3 linked regions of the Callithrix jacchus genome follow. The main gene of each other region encodes a partner of the protein of the gene in region 2 in a complex. Links are inferred from orthologs where the notes say so. Each region holds a gene or a part of one and is shown on either strand. Other genes may lie near its edges. The genes, in order: GATB, QRSL1 and GATC.

The links.
Region 1: QRSL1 (region 2) and GATB share a complex: the UniProt entries of both Homo sapiens proteins name them as parts of the heterotrimeric GatCAB amidotransferase (AdT) complex. The link is inferred for Callithrix jacchus from reciprocal best matches to the Homo sapiens genes QRSL1 and GATB.
Region 3: QRSL1 (region 2) and GATC share a complex: the UniProt entries of both Homo sapiens proteins name them as parts of the heterotrimeric GatCAB amidotransferase (AdT) complex. The link is inferred for Callithrix jacchus from reciprocal best matches to the Homo sapiens genes QRSL1 and GATC.

Annotation. Positions count from the first base shown.
Region 1 is NC_133504.1:45,000,721-45,010,676, reverse strand, and holds part of GATB (glutamyl-tRNA(Gln) amidotransferase subunit B, mitochondrial), read right to left. Parts: intron 3,984-9,956; coding exon 3,870-3,983; intron 1,536-3,869; coding exon 1,337-1,535; intron 605-1,336; coding exon 482-604; intron 1-481. UniProt on the Homo sapiens protein: Allows the formation of correctly charged Gln-tRNA(Gln) through the transamidation of misacylated Glu-tRNA(Gln) in the mitochondria. The reaction takes place in the presence of glutamine and ATP through an activated gamma-phospho-Glu-tRNA(Gln).
Region 2 is NC_133505.1:112,794,550-112,804,505, reverse strand, and holds part of QRSL1 (glutamyl-tRNA(Gln) amidotransferase subunit A, mitochondrial), read right to left. Parts: intron 7,774-9,956; exon of another isoform or gene 7,753-7,773; coding exon 7,593-7,752; intron 7,280-7,592; coding exon 7,181-7,279; intron 4,603-7,180; coding exon 4,506-4,602; intron 467-4,505; coding exon 290-466; intron 1-289. UniProt on the Homo sapiens protein: Allows the formation of correctly charged Gln-tRNA(Gln) through the transamidation of misacylated Glu-tRNA(Gln) in the mitochondria. The reaction takes place in the presence of glutamine and ATP through an activated gamma-phospho-Glu-tRNA(Gln).
Region 3 is NC_133510.1:123,576,577-123,587,148, reverse strand, and holds the start of GATC (glutamyl-tRNA(Gln) amidotransferase subunit C, mitochondrial), read right to left. Parts: upstream 5,938-10,572; 5' UTR 5,911-5,937; coding exon 5,830-5,910; intron 5,708-5,829; coding exon 5,535-5,707; intron 1-5,534. Other genes in the region: TRIAP1 (TP53-regulated inhibitor of apoptosis 1), read left to right, coding at 6,017-6,163, 8,014-8,097. UniProt on the Homo sapiens protein: Allows the formation of correctly charged Gln-tRNA(Gln) through the transamidation of misacylated Glu-tRNA(Gln) in the mitochondria. The reaction takes place in the presence of glutamine and ATP through an activated gamma-phospho-Glu-tRNA(Gln).

The sequences.
Region 1 (9,956 bases), on a different chromosome or scaffold from region 2:
ACTCAACTTAATTAAGATTTTATCTCAGGTTAAAGTTTTCATAATCTTCGCTTATAGTCAATATAATTTGGCTTGAGCTGTATATGGATGAAAAATCTACAAAACACAAGAAACAGACCCAAAGGAAAAGAGGCAACTGACAATGAAGTGCTATCTATACGGAACTCACAAACTAAGAAGTGTTCTTGAGAAACAGTGTCTTCTTCCTAAGAAAGACTGAACTGTTCAAAGCCGTTATTTCATTAACGGTTTGGTGTCTCTACACTGTTATTGGTCGTATATTTGTATTTGAGTTGGAGCTCAGTAAAGAACCCGAGGAGAATTCTAAAGAAAAACCAAAACAGGATTACAAAAGACTGGGGGAAAAATGGCTGCAAACAACTTCAATATAACTGATGATGAAAAATAAAACTGAAGTCAAAGAAGGTCTAGGAGGCAAGAAGGGAGAGGGAAAGAAGAATGCTGCTGCTGTGGCTTCTACCTGCCATGTTCGCCTGGCTGGTCCCCAGGGCTTGAAGGATCAGCTGCAGCTCCCTGACAGCTGTTGCCGCCTCTTCTCCACAGGACAAGTCGGGCTCCAGGACCACCTCCAGAAGGCCCACTCCTACCAAAGATAGGCAGAGTCAGCCTCACTGCAGCTCGCCAATTTCACCAGCAGAAAAATCAGGCCTAAGTTTCAGGAAAACTCTGCCTTACTGATGGACTCTCAAAGTGGTTCTAGCCTCTGAATCATTCTTCCCTCCCACTTTTTTTGTTTTGGAGGTGTCATCTCGTTCTGTTGCCCAGACTGGAGTGCAGTGACAGGATCACAGCTCACTGCAGCTCTGAACTCCTGGGTTCAAGTGATCCTCCCACCTCTGAGGCTACAGGTGGATGGCACCACACCTGGCTGTTTTTAATTTGTTTTGGAGACTAGGTCTCGCTATGTTGCCCGGCCTCATCTCAAACTCTGCGTCAGTTGATCCTCTGACCTCAGTTTTCTGAGTCGTTGGCATTACAAATGTAAGCCACCACCGCTAGGCCCTACTTTTTGATTTTTAACTGTTTCAACCCTTTTAACGACCGCTTAAATATCCAACTGCTGGATCTGCGATTAGGTGGTTAAATTTGTGTAAATTCAGGGGTGAGTTATTAGCAAGCCTAACAGTGATCACAGTTCAAGCCATGCTCACTAATCACGTATGCCAATCCCAAGGCTGATATTGTGGTCTCCATCTGTCAGGCTCCTGTGACTGCTTTCTCAATTTGTTAAGGAAAACTCTGGTGGGAAAAAGAGGGGCCTGCAATCCAAGAAATGAAGTGGGAAGGAGAAGTAATGAAAACACTCCAAGCCTACCCGCCCTGTTCAAATCAATGAGCGTCTGAGATCTCAGGTCGTCGTGGAGGCTTTTGCCACTGTCTTGCTCCAACTGGATCTGCTTGACCCTCACCATCTTGGGGATCACCTGACCGCACTCCTTCCCTGCAGAGATGCCATATGTCAAGCTCCCATTCACAGCGATTGGGAGCCTGTGCTGGGTAATCTGGTAGCCTGCCTGCACACAAACATAGGGTACACACAGTCACTGGTCAACACATAAAAGCTAGGATCCAGTTTACTATCCCTTTTACAATGTCAGACAAAGATAGGCCTACTTAAAGCAAAAATGGTAACAAGAAAAAAAAAGGAAAAGGAGAAGAAAAATTAGTTGCTGCATAGCAGCCATCATTGAGCCTGGTCCCTTCTGCTCCTGCCGTCACTCCTTCACCTTCCCCAAATCCTCCACCCTCAATAAACACAAGAAACAACACGAATTCATCCCATCACCCTCACTAATGTGCTGTATTGGGGAATAACAATAATCTCATTGTCAGGGGCCCCTAAGAAAAGAATTTATTGTTTCCATCCAGCTCATTAGCCTAAACTCTGCATCTCATTACCGGGCTCCTGGCAGACCCTCCTTATTCCGAATGCTGGCTAAGCACTTTGCCATCTATTCTCCACAGGGCCAACAGCAGTTGCTAGTGTGTGTTTAAGCTTGTTTGGTTTCTGCTTTTTAAAGAAATCAATCATGGTAGCTGCCCTCCCTGACCCAACTTCCCTAGTTCCTCCAGCCAGAAAATGCTGTGACACTCACCCTCCGTTAACGGAAAGCACATAGTACTAAAGCACTGACGGATCTTGCAAGGATCCCTCACCAGCTTCTAAGTGGAAAGGAAGAATTACTTTCAAATGGACACATGTATCAATACACACTAAAGAGATGGCAGGTCAATGAGGGGAACTGAAGAAGAACAGAGAATAAGAGCAAAGGCATCGGCAGCACTTGCTAGGGCCCAGATGCTGCTCTCACTGTGTAACGCTCAGTTAATTCCACAACAACCCTAGAAGAGGAACAAGGCACGGAGGGATCAGGACCTTGCCCAAAGCCACATACAGAGCTAGTGAGCATCAGTGTCAGCGTCTGAATTCAGGTGGTCAGGCTCCAAGATCTGTGTCTTTCACTACTTGGCCAGCCAGCAGTTTAAGAACTTGAACAGCATCAGAAATACTGCTGTGTTTGTCAAAATACAGACTGGTTGGCCTGACCTCAAAGGTTTCTGATTCAGTAGGTTGAGGGTGGGGCCTGAGAATTTATGTTTCTGACCAGTTCCCAGAGATGATGATGTTAGTGCCCTGGGGACCACATTTTGAGAACTCTGTGAAAGGGTAACCCATTTTCTATGCTAAGACGGGAAATCTCAATTTGTAAAACTAAGCTCTGGTTAGCATTGATGGATAAAATAAAGGACGCCCAGTTATATCTGAATTTCAGATAAACAAGGAATGCTTTATTAGATAAATAGGTCTCATGAAACTTGGATTATCTGAACTATCTGGGCCAGAAAGACCAGAAAGCCACAGATGACCAAAACACCTCATTTTAGTCATATTATTACTAAATCTCCCACCTCAACCAAACTGTCACTCCTAAAAGATGAAGAAATGGAGTTTTAATTATTTCTGCCCCGTGAAACAGTGGGCTTGCTGAGAGGCTGAAGACCAGAGGGGAAAAGCAGCAGCCACTGAAGAATGCAGGTCTTACTTGGATTTTTTATTTAATTCTACTCATGCCCTCACCCATTAAAAAACAGCTTACCCCAATCTTCAGTTTAAGGAGAATGAGGTGAAGCAACATCATTACTGTTGTTTTTCCAAATCATATCAAAAGAAACATGATTTTGGGAAACCCACTCAACATTTCAGTTCTGTTACAGTTCAATAGTATGAAAAATTGGCTCTCATTCACATGGTGTGGCTTTAAGAAAAAAAAACTTTTTAATTTTCGGAAAAAAAGCGGGTCAATACAGCGTTTACTGCTCAGCCAATTACTGTTCTTGGTCCAGGATTCTGGTTCATGTTTCCGCTTACTATTGTCCACTTACTTGCTCCTTGTGAGATGACAGAAATGTCTCCAAAGGAGACGGCCCTATTATTGGGAACTTCAACTTAAAAGCCAGACACTCTCCCTCTTCCGACAGAGCTACAGTATGCATTTACTGTTGCATCAGCCAGAGGCTTAGCTTTTGTACTAACAGGCAATTAGCACCAAATACCACAGCCGGGCTGAGCCTGAGAACACTGACTTCTACTCCCTGTGCAATTATGAGCAAGCCACCAGAAGCATGAGGCAAGCAAGAAGTCAGCAATCAAGACAATTGCATCCAATCTAGTAAACATCGGGGGCACCTGCCTGCATCAGGACCGGGCAGAACTTCCCACTGGGATGGACACAAGTGCTGGCTGAAAACATGAGAGACACAGTCCCTTTTCCTCGCTCCAACCCCCCACAGCAGGGCTGGCTCAGCTCTGAGAACTTGTAGTGGGGTGGATCGCAAAGTGTACTTACAGGGAGGTCTGCATAGAAGTAGTGCTTCCTGTCAAACAAGGACTTCTTGTTTATGTGGCAGTTCAGAGCCAGGCCTGTCATCACCGCCGCTTCTACACACCTCCTGTTGAGAACCTATGGAAACACAACACACAGTTCCTCTCAGGACCGCAGGCTGAACAAATGCTTCTCCCACACACTGACATCCTCGCTGAATATGCAACTTGGCCCTTCAACAGGCATTATCTCTGGTTCTCTGGGTGGGCAGCTCCAGTTCACAAGCTGACTCTGCCTGAGACTCAGAGAAAGGATATAAAAAAGAAAATGCATGCAGCAGTGGGTCCCACTGGGCACTGAATGAACTGCCACATCGGGGACCCTTTCCCCCGATGCTTGGCATCAAAGCTAACAGGAAGAGTCCCAGAAAAGCTTAGCAGAGTGCTTACTACATAGAATAAATCTAATCTTACTTCCTCTACAAACAGAATAAGGGACCGGTCAGAATACACAAGAGGCCCTGATTCCTGGGAGAAGTTCTGATGAAGGGTTGCTTTACTTTGACAGAAAAAGAATGAACTTCTGAAAACAACAGGGCTATAGCCATTTTCTCAAGGACTAGGAAATGTGGCACAGCTGTTGCCTGGCTTTCTGTCCGTGCCAGGCCAACTCCCTAAATGTGGAACTCCTAAGGAGGGCCTGTGCCACACATCATGCTGGTGACTCTCCAGGAGTGCCTGGCATTCCAGTTCCTTCTGGGTCCCACCGTGCCCCTCTTACAGGAGTGAATGACTAAGAAATGGCGAGCATACCTCCCAGCACCAAAGGATGTGAACAGCTTTTAAGAACCCTGGGAGTTTGGAACTAGACAGACAACAAAAGACAATGTAGCCTAGGAGAAAGAGCATTCAGTTCTTGAGTCAGGTCTGAATCCCACTTCTGCTACATCTGTCACTAGGAGCCTCCGTTTCCTTGTGTCTAAAATTGAGATTTAAGATCTACTTTGCAGAATGGATAAAGTGATAGCTTTAAATAGTAAATAGTTTACTTTAAAGAGTAAATAGTTCATTTCCTTACTCTACTTTGGGAAAATTTTGGAAGATGTCGTGTTTGCAGATGAAATATATTTCTTTGTTTTACGAGGATATTTATGATGTTCTTTGGTATATTTAATATACTATTATTTCTATGGACGAGGCCTTCTAATGGAGCATTTCCACATTCAGCATTTTATTTCAGCCTCAGAGCAACCCTGTAAAATAAGGAATCTGTATTATTCCAATATTTCAGATTTAAAAAAAAAACAACACTAAGATCCAAAGAGTCTAAAACATTCGCCCAAATTCACAGAACTGGCAAGTGGTGAAGCTGCCTGTAAAGCCCACACATGCCCTGCTGGCCTAGAGGCGCCCACCAGAACTTCTGTGGTTCAGGGACTGGCTCTTTGGGCTGGGATGATGAGTGCTGACCAAACACACAGGTTTTAAAAAGAAATCTGTATAACAAAATGTAAGGGGCATTTCTACTTACTGCAATATACAGTCCCCAAAGAAAAACGAAACACATCTCCCTCCTAGTGACATCACACCCTTCTTTTTCAGGTCTCAGGTTATAAGGTGGAGCCATCTCACAGTTTATATTTGGAGTTCTTCATTCTGTGCCTAATAACGTCAGCTCTGCAGCAATAAAGGTTTTCAAGAAAAGATGTGTGGGGAACAGGAAGCTCTAATTATTGATGTTTTCACTTGCCTAATGTTTGGCATTTTACTGAGTGATTCTTACTGAGATACAAATATAGATGCTAATCCTGCCAAATCCAACCCTGATGATTTGGGTCCAGGCACACAGAACGTGAAGCTGGAGTCCTGACCCTGGGCTTTCCTCTTACTGGGGCCAGAATGTCCTGGCTCATAAACTGCTTGACTCCCTGGTCTACACCAGTTCTGCTTTATCATTCCCTCTGCTTTCCTAACCACTGCTTTTGCTCTCATTTCAAGCCACTTTGCCGCTGGGGCCAAGCTGCTTCCTCCCTAGGCATGAAGAGAACGCAGGTTATTTTGTTTATGTCTGAGCATGCATCTAGCCTCCCTGTGGGTGAAGAGTTGGGGGTAATCACAGATTCTCACTGTGTCCGTGTGCACACAAGTGCATGGGCACTTCATAAACCACCACTTCCCAAAGAAGAAGGAGGCAGCAAAACAACAAACATTACAGTGATACTAAATATGCTTTAATCTTTTTTTCATGATTTAGAAGGCATGAAGTACTTCAAGGTCAGAATTATAAGCATCAATCACCACATACTACAGCTGTACAGAGGGGCTAGTAAACAGAGAGTGCCAGGTAAAAGAATGCCAAGAAAAAAAGGAATGTCCTAGTATGTTAGTCAAGCTGTTTGTGACAGATGGAGGTCCAGGTCAGCATGTTCTGAGGATAGGATGCAGAATGGGAAAATTCAACTTGGGCTGTCTTCACTCCAAAAAAATTCTTAAATGTCTATAAAGCACTAAACTTTAGGGATACAGAGACAAATAGGACCCTATCTCTGCCCTCAATGAATCAGCAATGGTGACATGAACCTGCCAGCAACTGCAAACCCTTTTCAAGTTTGTCTTTTATACTAGGTTGATCCTGCTAAAAATGTAAATCTGTGGCATTCTGTTACCTGAAGTCCCTCAATGGCCCCTGATGTTCCCACGACATAGGCCAAGCTCTTAAATGATCAACCTCTTGCCTACATCTTCAATTTCATCTCCTACCGAGCACCCCACTCCCTGACACCTCTGGTCAAGTTCTCCTGTGCAAATCATGCTGATTTTCTGAGTCTCCCCATTCTTATTCCCTTCAAAATCCTGGTGAGATGTCACCACCTCTGTGAAACCTTCCTTGTTGTCCTTTCTGTGTACCTCTTCTGACTTCCTACACACTCCCATTGGTGCTTCTATCACAATGGATTGAATTTGTTCACATATATTTCCACACAATTGCAAGTTTCATGAGGATAGAAATTGTTCACCCTTGTATCCCTGGAGCTGAATACAGAACCTGAAAAATAGTGATGCTTAATTAATGTGTGTTGAACTCAAAGGAGGAGGGAGGGGATGGGGATCGATGGAAAGTCTCAGAGCGGCAGTGATACATACCCATCTCCCCTAAAATGTTACCTGCCACATGCTGGCCTTCAAACTTGTTTCTGGAAGTGCCCTGAAGTGACAACTGATTGTGTGTGATACAATCAAAGATTAACTTAAAAACTCAAAAGACTAACTTGTCTTGAAGAAAGTATGTTCCAGAATTTATTTGTAATTAAATGACTACAAAGGATCTCAGGGTTAGCCACAGCAGCTCTCGTTTGGAAGAAGGCAGCAATCTTTTGGTATTCATGCAGCACACCTGTCTCAGCTGGGCCTTCAGAGGGTTCTTTTTAGCTTAAGGAAGGGGCAGTGGTGAGTATTTAATGTGCACTGACACTGTGTCAGGAGGTGTGCCGCATGTCACACACACATGCCATTGAATCCTCTCATTCCGAGGGTAGATACTATTATGATTCTCATGTTATGTGAAGGGAAGCACAGAGATGATGCAGTTTGGCCAGGGTGACGCATAGAAGTGGCAGAGCCAGAAGTCAGACCCCAGAACCCAGGCTCTCAACCACTATATTCGATCTGAAATCTTACAAGATAAAAGCATGTTAGTTTTAGTTATCAAACCTACTAATACCAGGCTGTAACTAGAGAGCAGCACCTCAGCCCAAATTCCACTGTGCATCATTTAAGACTGATGCTATTTCTAGTGTGTTTCTTCTTGCCACTTTCTCCCTCTGTAGGTTTGTTTCCAGAAGATGTTGAGCTCCCAGAGGGCAAGCACTGTTTTTTTTCTTAACTAGATGAAAGAACTCAGTGTTCTTTCAGTGCAGTCTCTGGCATGTGGAAGACTTGGTGATGGGTAAGCCTCCATGTTTTCTCAACTAGCAGAAGATATTCTATTGCCAGACTTCAGAAACCCTGAGACACAGGTACTCATACAATGATTTATTAAATAAGAGGCTAATTCTTTTTTTTTTTTTTTTTTTGTCAATCAGTTTGAGCTTATGAGGTTAGCCTTGAACTGATGACCTCGCCTTCGTGAGCGCCATGACCTCTGGCGGGAGCCACTTTGGACCCCGAGGTTAATTCTTTTATTTAATCAGAAGACGAGAAAGCTGTGATGGGTAGAGGTAGGAGATGAGACAAATACACAGTGGATGGCCAACAAATTTTATGACTAGTAGATAGAGATAAGGCACATCATGGCCAGGAAAAAGATCCTGGGGTGGTGGGTGGCGGGTCTTTGACTTTGGCTTACTTGTAAGACTCAGTAGTGCTGCAATAATAACTTGTTTGAAACCTAAGATACATCCAGCTCATAGGGCACCATAAACAACTCAGAGTTTGCATGAGACCTCTAAGGGGACACAGCGAACCCAATTTGAGAAACAGGCTTCTAGTTTTAACATTTATTTAGCTAAACCCAACAAACATTCCCTGATCTCTGAGACCATCATTTAATGACAACTCCCAACACTTTCAAAAAATCACCAAGTTCTACACATTCTACTTTCTTAACATACCTTGATTTTTCCCCTCCTCCTCAGGCCTTCAGTTTTAATTCAGATCTTTGTTTAAACACCACCCGCTCCGACCAGGACTTCTGCCACTTACCACCTGGCCAGAAGGCTTCTCACCTCTATTTCCAGCCCTCTAATCTCCCTTCCACACCTCTCCTAGGGTGACTTTTTTGAAGGATAAATCTGTTCATCTAATTCCTCTGCTTAAAATCCTTTTTACTGCTCCCTAGTCCTACCAGGATAAAGTCCAAGTGCCTGGCAGGGGCTTCAATGCCCTTGGTAGTCCTAGCCCCAACCACCTCTCTAGCTTCCTCTTCCTCCATTTCCCCTGATCACCATGCTCCTGCAGCCAAGTGTGAACCATGCTTTCGTACAATCTGCTGCTTCTGCTGGGAATGGCCTGCTTCCTCATCTGCTTGAGCAAGACCTTAGCATCTGGCAAGACTCTCGGATGTCACCTCTTTTGTGACATCTTTCCCACCACTATTTCAGTCTAGGTCTTTCTTCCTTTTAGCTCCCCTGGCACTTGGAGAATGCACTGTGTCTCCAAACAGACTGAGTTTTCCCAGGGCAATCAGGTCATTTTGTATTATTCTTCTTTGCCCTATCACCTAAATATAATACCAAGCTAATTAGGCGAGATAATGAATAATTTAACATTTCTTTTATCAACATCCAAAAGACTCTAAGCTGTGACATAAAAGCAAAAATGTTCTACAAACTGTATGAATCAGGGAAAGGAAACCACTCTTTTAACACAGAGACTTTATTACACATGAGAGAAGAGCTGAAATGTCCAAGAGGGCACAGCTGAGCAATTCAGGAGATTTCCAACAGCAGGAAGCCACTCCTATCCCAAGTTATGGGACCATCAGAGGATGCTAGAAACACACTAGAAGCTGGAGCCCTGGTTAAGACCCATCCTCTACAGAGATTTTGCTGGAGGCAGTGAAGGCGAAATACCCTCTTGCTCCTTTCCTCCTACCTCTAGTCTCTCATCAGAGCCTCCTGCTGGCCTGACCCGGCAAGAAGCCAGCTGAGCTGGGGCTCTAGGATCTGTAGCAGCCTCCCTGCCATTCAGAGTGGAGCAGAGAAACAGTGTTAGCACGGAGCTGAGAGCACAAAGCCATGACCACCACAGCAAATCCATACAGTTCTATGTTCATTTCTGTCATTTTTTTCTTTTGATTAACAAGCAGCTACTCAATAAAGCAAATGCCACTCTGTAGTCTGTCCAATCAACCTAAAACCGAAAATTTTGTGGATACCTTTTTCACATGCATGGAGCCAAGACTTATGAAATGGAACTAATTTCTAAGGAACATTTGTGATAACTCATCTGGACTGAACTGAACTGTAAATCTACATTAAATACCAGGAAAGGGTTTGCTAAGCAAATTAACAGAATTAAAGAAGATTATATAACCTACTTAATTCCATAAAATATTCTCTAGGATTTTTGTGCTTTTATATGAAATTCCACTAATTACAAATAAATCAATTCA
Region 2 (9,956 bases):
CTTTATTCTGCAAGATCCATAAAGTCATATTTTAAGAGAACCAGATACTATGCAGAAAAATGTTATTTTAACATATATTTAAGTTAGAAGTATAAAATATACACAGTGTACTGTACAGTTGAGTGCAATTACAAGATATAATTTTGATATACCTTTGAGCACATATAGCTCACTAAAACTAAAAATACGAAGGTATGAACTACTCTACTGCTGCATTTTACATATAGTTAATGACTATATGTTTGTATTTGGGTGGGTTTTAAAATACAGATAGAGAAAAGCATCTTACGCATAGCATGTGAACGCAGACACGGCAGCTGCACTCCCACCTGAGCTTCCTCCAGTTATCAGCCAGTCTGAATCTCCACTCTCGCTGTGGGGATTCTGCTTCCTTTTTTCTCTATATTGTTTTGAATAACTCCAGGGGTTTTTAACTGGTCCAAATACACCATCTGTGCTTCCAGATCTGATGAAGTGAAGCAAGATACCTTAGTAAAACTTTCATTTTATGTGAAAATTTCACCTTCTGAGTATATTATTTGCTTCTAACACTCATTGAGCATTTAAGAACCCATTGTAGCTTGAATTGAAAAAGGAGGGAAGCCTGCTCAGATGTAGCTTTCATTAATTAGACAGTTTCGGAGGATGGGAAGGAAGAGCACTGGTGGTAGAAAGTAGAGAAAACTAATCTGCTAAGAAAAGAGAAAAGATTTTTGTCTCATTTAATCATCCAATTTGATTGAAGATGATTTCCCTTGTGAATCAAGGTCTTCCAGTTGAAAAGGGTCACATTCAAACATGAAGTTTTCTGAGGAACTCTCTCCCTTAACTAGAAGTTCTGTGAAAAACATTACAAGTGGAATGCTAATAACTTTAAATATTTGAAATTTTATTATCAAATAAATTGCAAAAATAAAAATAACATATCTAAAGCACTTTATACCCTTTATCCAGATGTATCTATTGTTAACATTTTATCCCATTTGCTTTATTACTTGTGTGCTCTGTGTATGTTTGTACATATGTAGATACTCAAGGGTATCTTAAAGGTTATATACTATAGCCCTTTAACCCTAAATACTTTAGTGTGTATTTCCTAAGAATAAGGATATCATGTTATACAGTTACAGTATAGTTATCAATCTCAGTAACATTAATATCAATACAATACTTTAATGTACTATATGTAATTCAAATGTGTCAACTGATTCAATAATGTACTTTATGGCATTTTATCGCCTTCCTGGATCAAATCTAGTCAGGTCTTCCATTTAGTTATCATTGTCTTTTTTTCTCTTTGAGACAGAGTCTTGCTCTATCTCAGGCTGGAATTCAGTGGCATGATCTTGGCTCACTGCAACCTCTCTCCTGGTTTCAAGTGATCCAGGTTCAAGGGATTCTCATGCCTCCAGAGTAGCTGGGACTACAAGTGTCCACTATCTAATGCCTCGGCCCCCCAAAGTGCTGAGATTACAGGTGTAAGCTACCGTGCCCAGGCTCATTGTGATTTTAATTTCCCTAATGATCAAAGATATTAAGCATTTTTTCATGTGCTTGTCAACTATGTTTTAATCTTTAATGAAATGCCTGCTTAAATCTTTTGTTCATTTCTTAAAAACAGAGTTGCTTCTTTTCTTATTTACTTGTTATTGAGGTGGGCAATGTTCTATGTATTTTAGATATCAGTTCTTTCTCAGATATATGTTTTGCAAATATTTTTCTCAGTCTGTGGCTTGCATTTTCATTTTCTTAGCATATTTCAAAGTACAGAAGTTCTTAATGAATCTAATCTATTAATTTTTAAAGTGGATTTGTGCTTCATGTGTCCTATCTAAAACCTTTGACTAACTCAAGGGCACAAAGATTTTTCGCTGTTTTTTTTTTAAGTTGTTTTTTTCTGTAGAGAATGGTCTCACTATGTTGCCCAGGCTGGTCTAGGACTCATGGGCTCAAGCAATCCTGTTGCCTCAGTTTCCTACACCTATAATGCTGAGATTATAGGTGTGGGCCACCAGGCCCCACCTACTCTAAATTTTCTTAAGTTTTATGATGTTAGGTTTTGCCTTCTTTATCTCTCATCCTGGAAGATTTTCACAGCCCCTTTTTGTTTTCATATGATATTTTAATAGAATGGTTCTCATTTTGGATTAATCTTTTGTTTCTCTGTTATTAGAGTCAGGTTATACATTCTCAGCTGGAATATTACATAGGTGATATCGTATCTTTAGACAATTACATCTGGAGGCACACCATCCACTTCACCCTCACTGGTGATGTTAATTTTGATGAGCTGATGAAGGTAATGTGCTAAGAGCCTTTGTTCAAATTTACTCCCATGGATTAGTTCATTCAACATACATTTAATGAATTCCAAGAGATACCACTCTGAACTACACAGTCAAGGACTCTTGTTTCTATGAAACAGGGAACAAAGACCAAGCAAATATTACAAATGAGATGAGTGTCATAAAAGGGTAAGTATAAAGTATTTTTGGTGAAAGACTGAATGCTTTTCCCCAAGATCAGAATCAAGGCAAGGAAATCTGCTTTTACTACTTCTATTCAGCATTGCACCTAAGGCCCTAACTGGTGCCAATAAGGCAAGTAAAAGAAATAAGAAGAAATAAGACTAACTCTATTTGCAGGCTACATAATCTGCTACATAAAATATTCCATAGAATACACAAAGACCAACTAGAACTAATAAGCGAGCTTTAACAAGGTTGTGGGATAAAAAGTCAATATAGAAAAATCAACTATGTTTCAATGTACTAGAAATAAACAATTAGAAACTAAAAAAAATATCATTTTCGATAGCATTAAGAAACATAAAATGGGAGTAAATCAAATTATGTATATAATTTGTATGCAGAACATCATAAAAACATTCCTGAGAAAAACAAAATCTCACTCAATAGACAAATTTAGGTATTCATGGATTTGAAGACATGTATTATAATGCCAGTTCTTCAAGTTGATCTATAAATTCAACACAATTACAATCAAAATCCCATTAAACTTCTTTTTAGAAATTAGCAAGGTTATTCTAAAACATATCAAAATACAACGGATCTAGATTATGTAAAACGATTTTGAAAAAGAACAAAGAAGACTCTTACTATATAATTTCAAGGCTTGGAATAAACAGAGGTCCAACAGAGTCCAGAAACAGAACCATGTGAATGTGCTTGATTTTTGACAAAAAAATCTAAGATCATTCAATGAGGAAAGGATAATCTTTTTTATCATTAGTGCTGGAATTAATGGGTATCTGTATGTTTAATAAATGGACTTTATTCATACAACATATGAAAGTCTAATTCAAAATGAATCACAGGTCTAAATGTAAGAGCTAAAATATAAAACTTGTAGGGGAAAAGTCTTTGTGACCTTTGGTTAGGTAAAGAATCATAAAAGAAAAAAATTAAGCCAGGTGAGGTGATGTGTGCTTGCAGTCCCAGCTACTGGGAAGGATGAGGTCAGAGAATCACTTGAGCCCAGGAGTTCAAGACCAGCCTGGGTAACATAGTGAAACCCCATCTCTAAAAAATAAAGGAAAAAAATGGGCCAGACTCAGGTTGCTTTTGCTTCTCAACACTTTGTTAGACCAAGCTGGGAGGACAGTTTGGGTTTAGGAGTTTGAGATCAGCCTGAGCAACACAGTGAGACCATATCTCTATGAAAAGAAAAAAAGAAAAAAGAAAAGAAAATAGAGGAGCGGGGAGGTAAGGGGAGAAAAGAAGGCCAGGTATGGGTGGCTCACACCTGTAATCCCAGCCCTTTGGGAGGCCAAGGCAGGTGGATCACTTGAGGTTAGGAGTTCGAGACCAGCCTGGCCAAAATGGTGAAACCCCAACACTACTAAAAATACAAAAAAATTAGCCAGGCATGGCGTGTCTGTAGTTCCAGCTACTTGGTGGGCTGAGTCAGGAGAATCGCTTGAACCCAGGAAGCGGAGATTGCAGTGAGCTGAGATGCACCATTGCACTCCAGCCTGGATGACAAGAGTGAAACTCTGTCTCAAAAAGAAAGAAAGAAAGAAAAAGAAAATCAATAAACTGGAGTTTATCAAAATTAAGAACTTTTTGAAAGGCATTTTCAGAGAATGAAAAGATAACCCAGAGACTTGAAGAAAACATTTGCCAATCAGCACCTGTCTGATAATGGATTTGAGTCTAAAATATATGAAAGAGTTCTGACAATGCAATAAGAAGAAGATGGCCCAATTTCAAAAAATGGGCAAAGAATGTGAACAGCTGCTTCACTGATGAAGATACAAGGATGGCAAAATAAACACATGGAAAGATGTTTAACATCATTAGTCATCAGGGAAATACAAACTAAAAACAAAATTAGAGATGACTATATATCTATTAAACTGAACATAATCTCACAGAGGGACTAAGAAACTGGTATTAGATCCTCAATCCTTTCAGGAAACTACATTCAGTGAAAATAAAGGCACAGATAGAAGAAATTCAAGAGAAGACTTCAATTTTACTTACCCCATAGCAAATTCATCTAAATTTGTTTTTCCCATTAGTAGAGCTCCCTGATCCAACAACTTCTGAACTACTGTAGCATTATAAGGTGGTACATAACCTGAAAAAAATTTAGTTTTTTTTTTTACAGTCCAGAGATCTTTTATTTGTTTATACCTGTTATGTCATGAATTCACAGGGAATAGGCTTCAGCAGCTCAGGCACCTTCCCATTGGTTCTCACATAGTGCACTTCGCTGGGTGGAGCAGGCTGGCACTTCAGTTGAATCCAGGTAACTTTCTCTTTGGCTTCCTTGAATTTCAGGAAGCAATCTCGGCTCCTATAGTACTTAATGTGCTCAATATGCACATTAATTCTCTTGGCAAGAATCTTGCCCTTGTATGTTCACAACAATGCCAACAACATGCTGGGTAACTGTAGACTCCTCCAGTTTTGCCATGGTAACACTTGTGGGGCATTTCTTTTTGAACAGTACCCATTCCCTTGATGACTACAATATCACCTTTCTTTTTTTTTTGAGATGGAGTCTCGCTGTGTCACCCAGGCTGGAGTGGTGTCACAATCTTGGATCACTGCAACCTCTACTACCTCCTGGGTTCAACTGATTCTCCTGCGTGTCACCACGCCCAGCTGATTTTTGTATTTTTAGTAGAGATAGGGTTTCATCATGTTGGCCAGGATGGTCTTGATCTCTTGACCTCAAGATCGGCATGCTCACCTTGGCCTCCCAAAGTGCTGGGATTACAGGCGTGAGCCACTGCGCCTGGCCAACATCACCTTTCTTACAGGTTCGCATGTACGTGGCAAACAACTCCCAGTTTTCTAAAAAGCCCAGAGAATACATATCGGGTGCCTCTCCTCCTTCCCTTTGTGTTTGTCATTTTGGTGAATTACTGGAAGATGGTGATTCCCGCCAAAAGGCCGGTTGTTTTGGTTTTTTTTTAATAGGAAACACAACAGTGAACATGCAAATCATACGTAAGAAACAAGCATATGTTAGAAACAAGAGTTGGCAGGGTGTGGTGGCTCATGCCTGTAATCCCAGCACTTGGGAGGCTGAGATGGGCGGATCACCTGAGGTCAGGAGTTCAAGAGCAGCCTGGGCAATGTGGTGAAACCCTACCTTTACTAAAAATAAGCCAGGCGTGGTGGTGCGTGCCTGTAACTTCAGCTACTTGGGAGGCTGAGACAGGAGAATCACTTGAACCTGGTAGGCAGAGGTTGCAGTAAGCTGAGATCACGCCACTGCACTCCAGCCTGGGCAACAGAGCAAGATTCCACCTCAAAAAAAAAAAAAAAAAAAAGAACAGTCCAAACTGTAATTAAGCAATTCAGTCATATGTATTAATTATTCATATTTAAATAATTGGTTGTACTTTCTTCTAGTAATTTTTTTCCTACTGCTTAAATGTATGTTTTCCAAAGATAATCTAAATCTTCACTTTTTTTTTCTCAGCTCACTGCAATCTCTGCCTTCTGGGATCAAGCAATTCTCCCATCTCAGTCTCCCGAAGAGCTGGGATTAAAGGCACCTGCTGTCATGCCCAACTACTTTTTATATTTTTGTAGAGACAGGGTTTCACCATGTTGGCCAGGCTTGAACTCCTGACCTCAGGTGATCCACCTGCCTCGGCCTCCCAAAGTGCTGGGATTACAAGCATGGGCCACTGTGCCTGGCCAACTATTTTTATTACCTAAAAACACTGACTTTAACAGCTCTACAAAATATTACATGATAGTCAGAGATGTACTTAGTATTTATGAAAGTAATAGGAAATGTCTATTTTGCTCATTGTACTTGACTTTTTCTTCTCAGATGATGTGATACCACACAGTAATTTTTATGTATTTCCAGTTAGAAATAGATCTTTATTTTCAACTAAAATTTCCTCTAACTATTGAAAAGCCCTATTATATATTCCAAAATAATTAACAACAGTCTGAATATTAGAGGAAGGTGGGGCATATTCCTTATAGAATATTACTTTTAGCATATAGTACTCTGAATAATCTTTTTCTATTTCTCTTCCTTCCAAGGATCCAAATATCTTGATAAACCCGATTCCTTTTGACCAAACTCTAAAGAATAAATCTAGCATTGCCATATTGTGTTACAAAAAATAGAGGAATTAGAAAACAAAAAATAACTGGTCAGTAGATGTTGATGAATCCTCACATCATCCACAAGAGAGGGGTGTCAATGATAGCCAGTTCACACTCATTCCCATGTTATCAATGAGCTCAAGTTAGAGGTTATAAAGTGTGTTCATGGTGATCAGTTTTTTGTGTTTTTTGTTTGTTTTTTTAGAGATGGGGGTCTCATTATATTGCCCAGGCTGGACTCAAACTCATGAACTCAAGTGATTCTCCTACCTCAGCCTCTTAAGTAGCTGGAACTACAGGTACGCACCCAGCTGGTAATTAGTTTTTGAACTGAGTCTTCCCAAATATTAATAGAATTTTTGAAAACTTCTGAAGTAGCGTTCATTAAGCTGGCCTAACGCTAAGAAAAAATTCTGCATTCTAAAAAAGCAAATAGTGAAAAAGGTGATATTATATTCTAAGTATTTCCTTCAAAGATACAATTAGTCTGAGATTATCTTGGTACTTTGTTATCCTTAAAGTGAAAAATACTTATTTTTACAAAATTATCAACGCTCTGATCAGTTAAATTTTACCTTTCAGCATATTTGATGCACATGTTGTCTCAATGCCAGATGTACTAAAGTTGTCTTTTACTGCAATAGGAATTCCATCTAAATCCCCAAGAGACTGTCCTGCATTAAAAAGCCAAATGAGTGATAAAGGAGATAGTTTACAACATAAAGGTACACGAATACATGTTATTAAAGTAACTACTAGTTTTTGGCATAGATAATTCTTCAGAAACCAAATTTATGTCAGAAATTAATAGAGTTGGACATTATAAAGCATCACATATCCATTACCCCATTTTTATTATCCTCATGGCAAGTTCTTTAAATAAGGATATGTTTTATGTTAAAAGCTTCACTTGCCAAAGGGAGACTGCTACAACCAATTAAACTTCTCTGGTGATATAACAATGAAGTATAATTAAAAGCAATTTACCATTCTTATATCTCTTTTCTGATTCTTCAGCTTGTTTTAAGGCCACCTCTTCTGATACAGTAATGTAGGCATTCAGAAACTTGGTCTTCTTGATAAGAGAAAGACATTTTTGACAGAGCTCTGTTGGTGTAATTTGGCCTTGTTTCAGTGCCGCAGAAACCTATACACACAATTCAAAAACCTTTTACTGAGTTGGCAGAAGTTTCAAATGTTATATTGGCGGTGGTGGGGGTGATGGAGTGGCTAAGTATTACATTTTGAAGTGAGGCTTGGGTTCAAAATCAAGAGAACCTATTACCTCAACACTTAGTGTAGTGGATGAAGGGTGATGCACTGATCAGCTTGAGGACAGGTGAAGGACATGACATTCTTCTCCTTAGCTAACTTCAGTTTCAAAGTCAGGCTGTACAAACGACAGCAGTAAGTTATGCAAACCATTCTGTCCAGGGGAGATGAGGCCCAGCATGGGTGAAGGATGGCTGAGGGCAGATTCTGTAGAGAGGGTAGCTTAGCTGCAACACAGGCAGTCCAGAGAGGGAAAAAAGAGAAGTGAACTGGACAAGGCATTGCAGGATTTTTGTGGCTCTCTAAATAAGATCTTTATACCTACTGTGGAGTTCAAGTAAGAGACACTATAAATTGAGAGAACTGCTTATACCGGTTCAAAGGTAAACTGGAAAACTTCTCTGAAATTCTATCTTTAGGGAAGATGTTAGGAAGGCTGGTAAAGAACTGCACCAAAAGTGACTGGGAAGTAGTGAGTATCAGTGTATACTGACAGGAAGTAGGGCCTGAGATTAAGTCATGACTGTCTAATATTTTCTGTAGGAAGTAATAATAAATGTAGTTACTAATCAGATAAAAGGGATGAATAACAAGAAGTAAAAGATGACACCAAAGCTTTGGAGATTTTATGAAAAGATAATTAGATTAGATGGGAGTTGAGAGAAAAGGAGAATAGAGAAAGGAATAATATTTACCAAGTATTTTCCAAGAGCCAGACACTGTTGCTTTACATGCATTATTACTTCAATTAACCCTTAAAGCAACCACACAGTTAGGTATTGTTTATCTAATTGACAGATGAAGAAACTGAAGCTCAGAGACCTTGAGTGATTTGTCCAAAGTCACTCAAATGGTAAAGGACAGGGTGACTTCATAATATACAGTCTTTACCACTTCTGTCTCTATTCTCTTGGAAGCTTAGTTTGTCCTCCAAGTTGACAGTTTTTTCACATGTCCTATACACACTAAACAAGAGAAGTTTGCATTTGAGGGGAAAATCTGCAAATGATCTGCTCTCAGCTATTGAGTAAATCATCAAAGCAATGGCATTCTTAGGGTTGAGGGTTTTAAATGCAACAAGCAGTGGGAAGAGGCCACGAAGAGGATCCCTAATGCTTACAGACAAGAGGAAAAGGACTTCCATGGGGAGGCTACTGACTGTGCAAGGATGGGGAGGGCAGCGAGGTTTGACTTAAGGAGGTGACTTCTATAGTAACAACAAAAGAGAGTTCGTCAAATGGTCTATAAGAAATGTAAACCCTTCAGAAGAAAGAAGCTACAAGGAATAAAAGCCGTGTGTTTTAATATCGTGTATATGGAACAAAGATGGTGATAGGCTGGGTGGAAGACAGTTAGAACTAGCAAAAACCCAGAGCTAGACAGACAATATATACAGACAGATATATAGGCAGGCCCACCCATGGCTAAGTTGTAATAATGAGGAAAATTCCATCTGCCACTTTCTCTCCTTTCTTGACTCCTCTCAAGTCCCCTAATGTCTACGATCCTCAAGCTGCTTCCAAACTGGTGTGAGGATAAAAGCTAAGAGCTGGGATTACAATTGTGGTTGAAGGGTAAGAAATAAGACTGTCTAGGAGTATTCACTTTAAATGGTGCTGATTTTCATTAAGACCATTTTTAGGAACTATAGATTTGAAAAAAAAATCAATAAGGGAATTGGAAAACAGAAGTGAAAACAAAGATGCTAATCAGCTAGATGGACTGAGCATAAGAAGCAGGAAATATAAATCACATATAGTTTCCCAGGACAAAACTGCAGGTGTTATATCTAAATATAAAACGAAGTTAACTTTCAAGTTTTTGTTAAAAGAAAACAAATTCTCTCTCTGGCACATCTTTTCTCTAATGGAAACTAGGCTTTCCCTGGCAGCCACTGCTTCTCCTGTTTAGTGCTTACCTACCAGGTACCACAGAGTCCAGAGTGGGAGAGGAGACAGATGATCTCCTTGTTCCTCAGTGCTTCTCTTCCCTCTTCTCTCAAACATCTCAGCTTCTCTGAAGCACATGCCTTGGGAGATGACACCATGCTCCCTGATGTGCTGACCTATTAGCCTCTCT
Region 3 (10,572 bases), on a different chromosome or scaffold from region 2:
GGAGAACAAAAGTAAAAATCATACCATTCAAAGGTAACCCCTGGACTTTCTGGAATTTATATTTTCTGTTGGACAGTATTAAAAAATGACTAAGAGGTTAGGCTCTCAAGTCAGAGCTCAATTCAGATCCCAGTGCTATCATTACTTTATCCTCTCCATATTTCAGTTTCCTTGTTTGTCAGATGCCTCATAGGATTTCTGGGATGAAATGATACTAAAAAACAAGATCTGATAATGCTGAGCTTGCACTCACAGCAGTAAGAGAGGGGTCTGAGTGGCACCTGCTCCTTTCAGAAAGCCTTAGTGCACCCCAGTATACCTCAGTCCCCACCACTCATTCAAAGTCTGCACTTGTGAACAGGCATTACCTGCCTAGCATCTGAAGATTCTGAGAAGACTCTCCACTGCCAACAGGCGGTTGAATGCTACTGCTTCCCCAAGAGTAGATCTAATAGCAGCTAATTTATTTACTCATCATCAAGTAGTCAAGTTTCCTGTGTAAGTGGAATTTCCAGGAAAACAAAATTCACCCCTTTATTTACCACATATTTCCATTTAGTTACTGGTTATGATGGAGTTGTTCCTAAAATAGACCCATGTCTTCTGGGGTCATCTTTTCTTTCTTTTTTTTTTTTTTTTGAGACAGGGTCTTGCTGTGTTGCCTAGGCTGGTCTCAAACTTCTGGGCTCAAGTAATCCTCTTGCCTCAGCTTCCCAAGTAGCTGGGATTATAGGTGTGTACCACCATGCCCAGCTTTATTTTCTTAATAATGGGCTACTGAACCCGTAGTCTCTGACAGTGGTACAGCAAGCATACCCCTCACTTGATGAGTTGCTTCACTTTCTTGGACCTCAGAATTGTATAAAACACCAAACAGGACCAGATGAGCTTTTCAGATCAATTGCTGATTGATTAAACTTCTACCTCACTTCCTGTCTTTCCCACTCAGTGTTCTGTAAGGTAAGTTAGCCCACATACCCCAAGACACCCATTCTGATGATAAATTAACTTCTCTCCTATGTGTTTGGGCTAACATTTGTCACGTACTGTCCTTAGGAGAACTGAAAAAAAGTCACTTGAAAATTTGTGTTCTGGTTTGAGTGAGGAACCCTAGTTGAGAAAGACTTCAGCTGTAAACTAGAAGTCCCTGCCGACTGAAACTCATGAACAATAACTTAAGTAACTGTGGGAAATGCTGCTACAATGGCATTGGGAAGTGCTATGACATCAGGGAGGATAAAGTGGCTCCATTTGTGATCCTGTCAGGCTTTGGACTGACTGATGGGACAGTTCTCCCAGTGCTTTTGTTTCCTTGAGCCTCTTCCCTGGTATCTGGCTGCAAGGAATAAATTCTTTTTTTTTTTTTTTTTGAGACGGAGTTTCGCTCTTGTCACCCAGGCTGGAGTGCAATGGTGCGATCTTGGCTCACTGCAGCCTCCACCTCCTGGGTTCAAGCAGTTCTGCCTCAGCCTCCCAAGTAGCTGGGACTATTCGCACCACCGTGCCCAGCTAATTTTTGTATTTTTAGTAGAGACGGGGTTTCACTATGTTGACCAGGATGGTCTCAATCTCTTGACTTGTGATCCAGCCGCCTCCGCCTCCCGAAGTGCTAGGATTATAGGCACGAGCCACTGCGCCCAGCCTAGGAATAGATTCTTATGGATCCTTCTACTTCCATCTAAAAGCCTTTTCCTTTTCTCCTAGTTTATTTCTAGTTTGATGCAGACTGGAATAAAAATTATAATTATACCATTCAGAGGTAACCCTTGGTTAAAAGTTCTGGGCCAGGCAAGGTGGCTCACATCTATAATCCCAACACTTAGGGAGGCTGAAGTGGGTGGATTGCTTGAGCCCAGGAGTTTGAAACCAGCCTAGGAAACATGGTGAAACCCCATTTCCCGTAAAAATAAAAAAAGTTAGCCAGGGGTGGTTGCATGTGCCTATAGTCCCAGCTACTCGGGAGGCTGAGGTGGGAGTTCAGGAGATGGAGGCTGCAGTGAGCTGAGATTGTACCACTGCACTGCAGCCTGGGTGACAGAATGAGACCCTGTCTTGGAAAAAAAAAGGTCTGGGTTCAGGCCAGGCATGATGGCTCATGCCTATAATCTCAACACTTTGGGAGGCTGAGGCAGAAGGATCCCTTGAGCCCAGGAGTTCGAGACCCTCTGGGCAACACAGCAAGACCCTCTGTTTACTAAAACAAAAGCCTTAGCTGGGCATTGTGGTACACACCTCTAGTCCCAGCTACTTGGGAGGCTGAGGCAGGAGGATGGGTTGAGCCCAAGAGTTTGAAGTTTTTGGTTCAAATAAGACTCTGAGGGACATGGGACATTTAAGTATTTGGTTGTAATCAGAATTGCTGTCAACTCATTCTCTGGATTTCAGATGAAAGAAAGTAAAGTTCCTAGGAACTGACTTTAGCTGGCATATCTTAGAGCAGTATTTGGGATCAGAAGCTCTGAGTTCCAAATCCTCCATTTATTACCTCCATTTATTGAAACCAGCCTAGGAAACGTGGTGAAACTCTGGGCATATTACATAACCTTTCTGAACCTCAGTTTTTCCCATCTATAAAATAGATAACTTGTATTGACCTTCTAGGACTGTATGTAAAAACCGAGCCCCTGTCATGTAAGTACACTAATGTTTTTAGCTCAAACCAAATGACATGTTATCAGTGTGTAAAGAGATTTCTATTAACCAGTAAGGGCTTTTTTTTCTTTTTTTGGAGACCATGTCTTGCTCTGTTGCCCAGGCTGGAGTGCAGTGGCGCTGTCTTGGCTCACTGCAACCTCTGCCTCCTGGGTTCAAGCGATTCTCCTGCCTCAGCCTTCAGAGTAGCTGGGACTATAGGCACATGCCACCATGCCCAGCTAATTTTTGTATTTTTAGTAGAGATGGGGTTTCACCATGTTGGCCGGTCTGGTCTCAAACTCCTGACCTCAAGTGATCTGCCCAGTTCAGCCTCTTAAAGTGCTGGGATTACAAGCATGAGCCATCATGCCTGGCCAAGTCAGAGCTTTTAATAGCTAAGATGGCTACTACCTAAAACCATTTAAGCAACTTGGGATCCTGCAAAGAAGAATGGTGAGAAGAATAATGGCCATTTTGCCATCAACTAAGTGGTGACCCAAGAGGACACCATCAACATTCATAAGCATATCCACTGAGTGGACTTCAAGCAGCATGCCCCTCAGGCTCTTAAAGAGATGGGAAATTTGCCACGGAAGTGGAAAACTCCAGATACGTCCATTGATACCAGACTCAAAAAAGCTGTCTGGCCAAAGTAGTAAGGAATGTCCATACTGTATCCATGTGCAGTGGGTGGTCCAGAAAACATAATAATAATGGAAATTCACCAAACAAGCTCTATACTTTGGTTACCTATGTACTTGTTACCACTTTCACAGATCTACAGTGTGGATGTGAACTAACTTGCTGATCATCAAATACATCAATAAAGTTATAAAAACTGCCAAAAATAAAGAACAAAAAAGGTTAAATACCTGTCTTCACCTTACTGGATTCTGTTAGTGTTTTCATAAAGAACATGGTGAAACCCAGTCTCTACTAAAAATACAAAAAGTAGGTGGGTATGGTGGTGGATGCCTGTAATCCCAGCTACTCAGAAGGCTGAGGCACAACAATCGCTTGAACCTGGAGGGTAGAGGTTGCAGTGAACTGAGATCGTGCCACTGCACTCCAGCCTGGGCAACAGGCGGGACTCCTCTCAAAAAAAAAAAAAAATTTCTGGAGGAAGTGGGAGGCTGAGGTGGGAGGATGCTTGAGACCAGGAGTTTGAGACCAGACTGGGTAACATAGCAAGACCCTGTTTTTTTTTTTTTTTTTGAGACGGAGTTTTGCTGTTGTTGCCCAGGCTGGAGTGCAATGGTGCGATTCCAGCTCACCGCAACCTCCGCCTCCTGGGTTTAAGCAATTCTCCTGCCTCAGCCTGCTGAGTAGCTAGGACTACAGGCACGCGCCACCATGCCCAGCTAATTTTTGTATTTTTAGTAGAGACGGGGTTTCACCTTGTTGACCAGGATGGTCTCGATCTCTTGACCTCGTGATCCACCTGCCTCGGCCTCCCAAAGTGCTGGGATTACAGGCGTCAGCAACCAAGCCCGGCCCGCAAGACCCTATTTCTACAAAAATTTAAGAATTAGCCAGGTGTGTGGTGGTGGGCACCTATAGTCCCAGCTACTTGGGAGGCTGAGACAAGAGAATGTCGAATCCAGAAGTTTGAGACCAGCCTGGGCAATACAGTGAGACCCTGTCCCAAAGAAAAAAGAAAATTGCAAAGTGGAGAAAATATTTGAAAGAATCAAACACTGGGCCGGGCGCTGTGACTCATGCTTGTAAATGCCTGCACTTTAGGAGGCCTAGGTGGGTGGGTCGCCTTTGCTCAGGAGTCAAGACAAGCCTGGACGACATGGCAAAATCCTGTCTCTACCAAAACCAAAAAATTAGCTGGGCCTGGTGGTATATGACTATGGTCCTATACTTGGGAGACTGAGGTGGGAGGATCTCTTGAGCCTGGGAGGCAGAGGTTGCAATGAGATCATGCTACTGTACTCTAACCTGGGTGACAGAGTGAGACTCTGTTTCAAAAACAATAAAAAAAAAAAAATTCAAGGCAGGAATACAACAGTAACTAAATAAGATAACGAGTTCACATTGTAATAAAAGAGGCAAGAAATGAACAAAAGTCCACTAAAACGTCAGGAAAAAACTCAACAGGATAAGAGTTGCTGACTACAAGGAGAGAATGGATTTGGAGTGGTTAGGAGAGTCCTTTCCGAGAAGATAAGCTGAAACCTGTGCCAAGAGGGAGACAGCCATGCAAATACCGAGAGGCAGGAAAAAAACCAAAGGCCAGTGCAAAGATCTAGAGAGGGAAAGAACTTGTCTTTCTGGAGAAGCAGTCAAGGAAGCCAAGGAGGGTACTGAGAAGAGCAGTACCTTTGAGTAGGCAGGGACTCTGCATAGAGTAGGGCCTCAACGGCAATGGGGTTTTGTTTCTGCTTAGCTAGGAGGGCACGAGCGAGAGCATCCATAATGAACACGGGGAAGAGGAAAGCCATTGACTCGCGGGGTGACGGGCAAGTTCCTGAATCTCGCCAACGGTCTTTCACCCCCTGGAAAATGGTTCGCTAACTGCCACATTAAACAGCTGCGAGCCAGGCGCGGTGGCTCACGCCTGTAATGCCAACGCTTTGGGAGGCCGAGGCGGGTGGCTCACCTGAGGTCGGGAGTTCGAGACCAGCCTGACCAATATGGAGAAACCCTGTCTCTACTAAAAATACAAAATTAGTCGGGAGATGGTGCACACCTATAATCCCAGCAACTCGGAAGGCTGACAGGAGAATCGCTTGAATCCTGGAGGCAGAGACTGCAGTGTGCCAAGATCGCGCCATTGCACTCCAGCCTGGGCAACAGAGCGAATCTCCTTCTCAAAAATAAATAAATAAATAAAAATAAACGGCTGCGAACTGGCCCCAGTCAAGGCTGCGAGGCTGCAGCCGCAAGTTTACCTGTCCTCCAGGACCGACTCCATGGGCTCCACCCCATCGGTATCCACCGCGCGTAGCCGGTCGGCGAAGGCGATGGCTTTTTCCAGCCGCGCTACTGCCTCCCGGCTGCCGAAGTCCACAAGGGCTAGACGCTCCAGGTGCTCGATCACCTCGGCCGTGATTCGGCCACTGCCCTGGAAGAGGAATGAGGCGGGGAATGTGGGTCACCGGCGGGACCCGGTGAATGTGAGTCACCGACGATCCGGAGCGCTTCCCGTTTTGCTTCGCCACCCGCCTAGATGGCCCTGGCCTTTACCTGAGGATCTGTCTTGGAGGTGAAGCCCCGGGGCCCGCCCAGCGGGACCCGAAGGCCCAGCCACAACGCCCGCGCCAACATTTCTTCCTTCCTTGGCCCCGGTAGTGCGTCCGTGCGTAACGCCGAGCGGCGCGACTGAGTGATGACATCAGAGTGCGCCGCCGTCGCCGCCGTCACCACTATCGCCATGAACAGTGTGGGGGAGGCATGTACCGACATGAAGCGCGAGTACGATCAGTGCTTCAATCGCTGGTTCGCCGAGAAGTTTCTCAAGGGGGACAGCTCCGGGGACCCGTGCACCGATCTCTTCAAGCGCTACCAGCAGTGTGTTCAGGTGAGCCCTCGCGCCTCAGTTCCCAGGCCCCGCGTTCTTCGCGCTGTCTCCGCCACACTCATCGTATTTTACGGGGCTTGGGACTGGGAGGGTGGAGAAAAGCTGCATTGAGACCAGTGGGAGGAACCCTATCCCCTACCATCACCACCGAGGCCACTTGGGTGTCTCTCCGAATGACAAATATTGGTGCAGTGCTTTTCTTTTTAAGACGCACAGTCGGCCGGGCGCGGTGGCCCACACCTGTAATCCCAGCACTTTGGGAGGCCAAGGTGGGCGGATCTCCTGAGGTCGGGAGTTCGAGACCCGCCTGACCAACATGGAGAAACCTCGTCTTTACTAAAAATAAAAAATGAGCCGGGCATGGTGACATGCCTGTAATCCCAGCTACTCGGGAGGAGGTTGCAGTGAGCCGAAGTCGCGCCATTGCACTCCAGCCTGGGCCACAAGAGCGAAACTCCGTCTCAAAAAATAAATAAATAAAAGGCACAGTCACATCTTTTGTGACTGTGTTCATTTGGTGTTCATCCTAAACTTGCAAGGTGGGCATACTCATATTTTATAGATAGAGAACTAACACACAGAAGTAGGAAGTGATTGGTCCCGGTTCACTAGAATCAGGTTTCCTTGATTCTTTCGCAGGTGGTGCACGTTTCTAATATTACTGCTGGGGTCTCAGCGGGGTTATACTTCAGACTGGAGGATCACATTGTTTTAACCCTTCGGTAGCTTGTTTATCTCTACCAGTCCCCCCAACTGCAGATAGGAAATGGTCATTCTAGCCTAATGGATGTGGAACTGCTTTGAACTGTAAGAACAGCACTGGGCAAAGCACTTTCAATAAGTTAACCTAATACATCCTCACGGCAATCCCCCGGGGTAGTTGCTGTCTTTATCCCATTTACAGTTGAGGGAAGTGAGGGTGGCTCAAGGTCACATAGCCAGTAAGTCCTGGAACCCAGATTTGAACCTAGTCTTTCAGTAACACAAAGTGATTTTTTTTTTCAAATTTCACTTAACTTTAACAGTTCTCTCACAGCTCCTTTTCCAGTCTCCCTCAGGTCTTAACGCTTGATTTATTCATTATGGTACTTCTGTTTTTTATTTATTTATTTTTGAGGCAGAGTTTTGGTCTGTTGCCCATGCTGGAGTGTAGTGGCGTGATCTCAATTCACTGCAACCTCTGCCTCCTGGGTGCAAGCTATTCTCTTGCCTCAGCCACCTGAGTAGCTGGGATTACAGGAATGCGCCACCATGCCGAGCTAATTTTTTTTTTTTTTTTGAGACGGAGTTTCGCTTTTGTTACCCAGGCTGGAGTGCAATGGCGCAGTCTCGGCTCACCGCAACCTCCGCCTCCTGGGTTCAGGCAATTCTCCTGCCTCAGCCTCCTGAGTAGCTGGGATTACAGGCACGCGCCACCGTGCCCAGCTAATTTTTTGTAATTTTTAGTAGAGACGGGGTTTCACCATGTTGACCAGGATGGTCTCGATCTGTTGACCTCGTGATCCACCCGCCTCGGCCTCCCAAAGTGCTGGGATTACAGGCACGCGCCACCGTGCCCAGCTAATTTTTTGTAATTTTTAGTAGAGATGGGGTTTCGCCATGTTGGCCAGGCTGGTCTCTAACTTCTGGCCTCAAGGGGTCACCTGCCTCTGTCTCCCAAAATGTTGCAACTACAGGTGTGAGCCACCACGCCCGACCACTACTTGTTATTTAAAAAGTATGTAGTTTGAATCATGGTTATGAGTCTTGATAGTCAGCTTGACTTGACTTTCGTGCTATCATATTTTATTTACAAAGCTTGCAACTCAAGCTTCATATAGTCTTCAAAATGTGTTTTCACCTCTTACCAGAAAGCAATAAAGGAGAAAGAGATTCCCATTGAAGGACTGGAATTCATGGGCCATGGCAAAGAAAAGCCTGAAAATTCTTCTTGACCTTGATAGTCACCATGAAGTCCAGAAATTGAGAACTCTGGATTTTTGTCAACTGAATCTGTGAAGATAGCCATCAGGTTTGATGAGGAACTGCGGCGAGAGGAGTTTTATTTCCTCCTTCGATGTTTTCCTCTCAATTGTAAAAGATGATGAACTCTTTGAGATTATTTTTCACCTGCTCAGGCATCTTGCAGGAACTCAGTGTGCTAAAATTGAACAATTTTCTGGAATTATGGTTGCAATACTTGGTCTGGAATCAACTTTACATAAATATACCTTGTATGCAAATAATGATAAACTAGTTAGAATGAGCAGAGGTGCCTGACCTCTTGATTTCTGCTGCAAAGGACATTATATACACTGTACTGGGGTCATTGTTCATGAAAGCAATTGGTTAGGGTGTCTTTTTTCTCTCAGGGAACTAATGCTCTGAAAAGGGATCTGGGCACAAGTTTCAGGAAGTGCTTTTGAGCACACTTTTATTTTTATATGGTAACCAGTGGTTAAGATTGATGTTGGCCTGGATTAGCAAAGAGGAAGACAACTTTTAACACAGTTCCCTGCCTTCACAAGAGGTGTCAGATTAAGATGTGTAAACTACAAGAATGTTGCAGTGAACACCACTGCAGAGCTCTCAGTGCCCCCTTAATTCTTAGTTCAGGAATTAAGATACTTGGAATAGCTGTGGAGGAAGGACGTAAATTGCAAAGATCTGCTGTTGCCAGCTATCATCCCAAGTCAGTAAATTGTCAACTGCGTATCCTAAAAATGTCAAAATGCTGCATCTGTAAATGGGGGGGAAGCTGAAGGTGCTTGCTTTATTTGCCTTGTTTACTCATCCTGCTCTATAATGTCTGTAATCATGAAGATGGAATAAATTGCAACATTTTCTATCAATTATTTGCCTCTGGAACTCAGTGCATTTTATGGAACCATTACCCTGTTATCCTACAAACCTCATATTCATATATACACTGGGAGTTTTGTGTTTTGTTAACTTAAAGGTGAAGAAAAAGTGACTTGTCTAAGCTAGGTGGTACAGTGTGGCCATGAGAAACCTCACTGATTGTTTTTGAGACAGTCTCACTCTGTCACCCAGGCTGGAGTGCAGTGGCGCCATCTCAGCTTACTGCAACCTCCACCTCCTGGGTCCAAATGATTCTCCTGCCTCAGCCTCCTGAGTAGCTGGGATTACAATGCTTGGCTAATTTTTCTATTCTTAGAAGAGACAGGGTTTCACCATGTAGGCCTGGCTGGTCTTGATCTCCTGACCTCAGGTGATCTGCCTGCCTCAGCCTCCCAAAATGCTGGGATTACAGGCATGAGCCACCACATGTAATCCCATGTGGGATTGAGCCAGCCAAACCTCACTGTTTCTAAAATTTATTGCCACAATGGGCTACACAAATATATTATGGTACCAAAAAAGTCAGGCTCAGAAGAGAACTGTGGACTTTAGAACGTCACATAATCCCCACAATTGTATAATTTAATTTTATTATATACCCAAAAATAGTATGAAGGTTGAATTACAGGCCAGGTATGGTGGCTCATACCTGTAATCTTAACACTTTGGGACACTGAGGTGGGTGGATCACTTGAGCTCAGGAATTTGAGACGAGCCTGGGCTCCACAAAAAAATGAGCCGGGTATGGTGGTGTGTGCCTGCAGTCCCAGCTGTTTGAAAGGCTGAGATGGGAGAATACCTGAGCCTGGGAGGTGGAGACTGCAGTGATTGCACCACAGCACTCCAGCTTGGGTGACAGAGCAAGACCGTCTGAAAAATAAACTTGATTTATAGAAGGCCCTAATTCTATTCTCTTTTCTCCACTTTACCAATTGCTACAGCATATTTAATATGACTTGTCTTTAGATGTCATTTCAAAACATTCTTCATTTATATTTTATGACTGGTTAGGGTCTGTTATCCAAGGATTACAAAAGATGTTTAGAACCCAGCCAAGTGAGGCCAGGCAGCAAACTGAAGTAAGTATAATACATCTATCTTAAACTCAGACTGGCCTCGAGCAAAACAGCTCTATAGGGACTCAGAAGTGTAGGCTGTTATATCACAAAATGGCAACGATAATGAGATTCTCTATTATGTACCGAATATACCTTACCTTTGCATTACCAGTTTAATGTAATATACTATGAAATACTAGTGGCCTTCTGAACCTTACCACAAGTGTTCCTTTGAGCCTTAAGAATAAACCAGCTCTGGCCAGGCACACTGGCTCACGCCTGTAATCAAGACTTTGGGAGGCCAAGGCAGGCAGATCACCTGAGGTTAGGAGTTCAGGACCAGCCTGGCCAACATGGCAAAACCTCATCTCTACTAAATATACAAAAAAAATTAGCCAGGCATGTTGGTGCATGCCTGTAGTCCCAGCTATTCAGGGGCTGAGGCAGAAGAATCGCTTCAATCCAGGAAAAGGAGGTTGTAGTAAGCTGAGATTGTGCCACTGCACTATA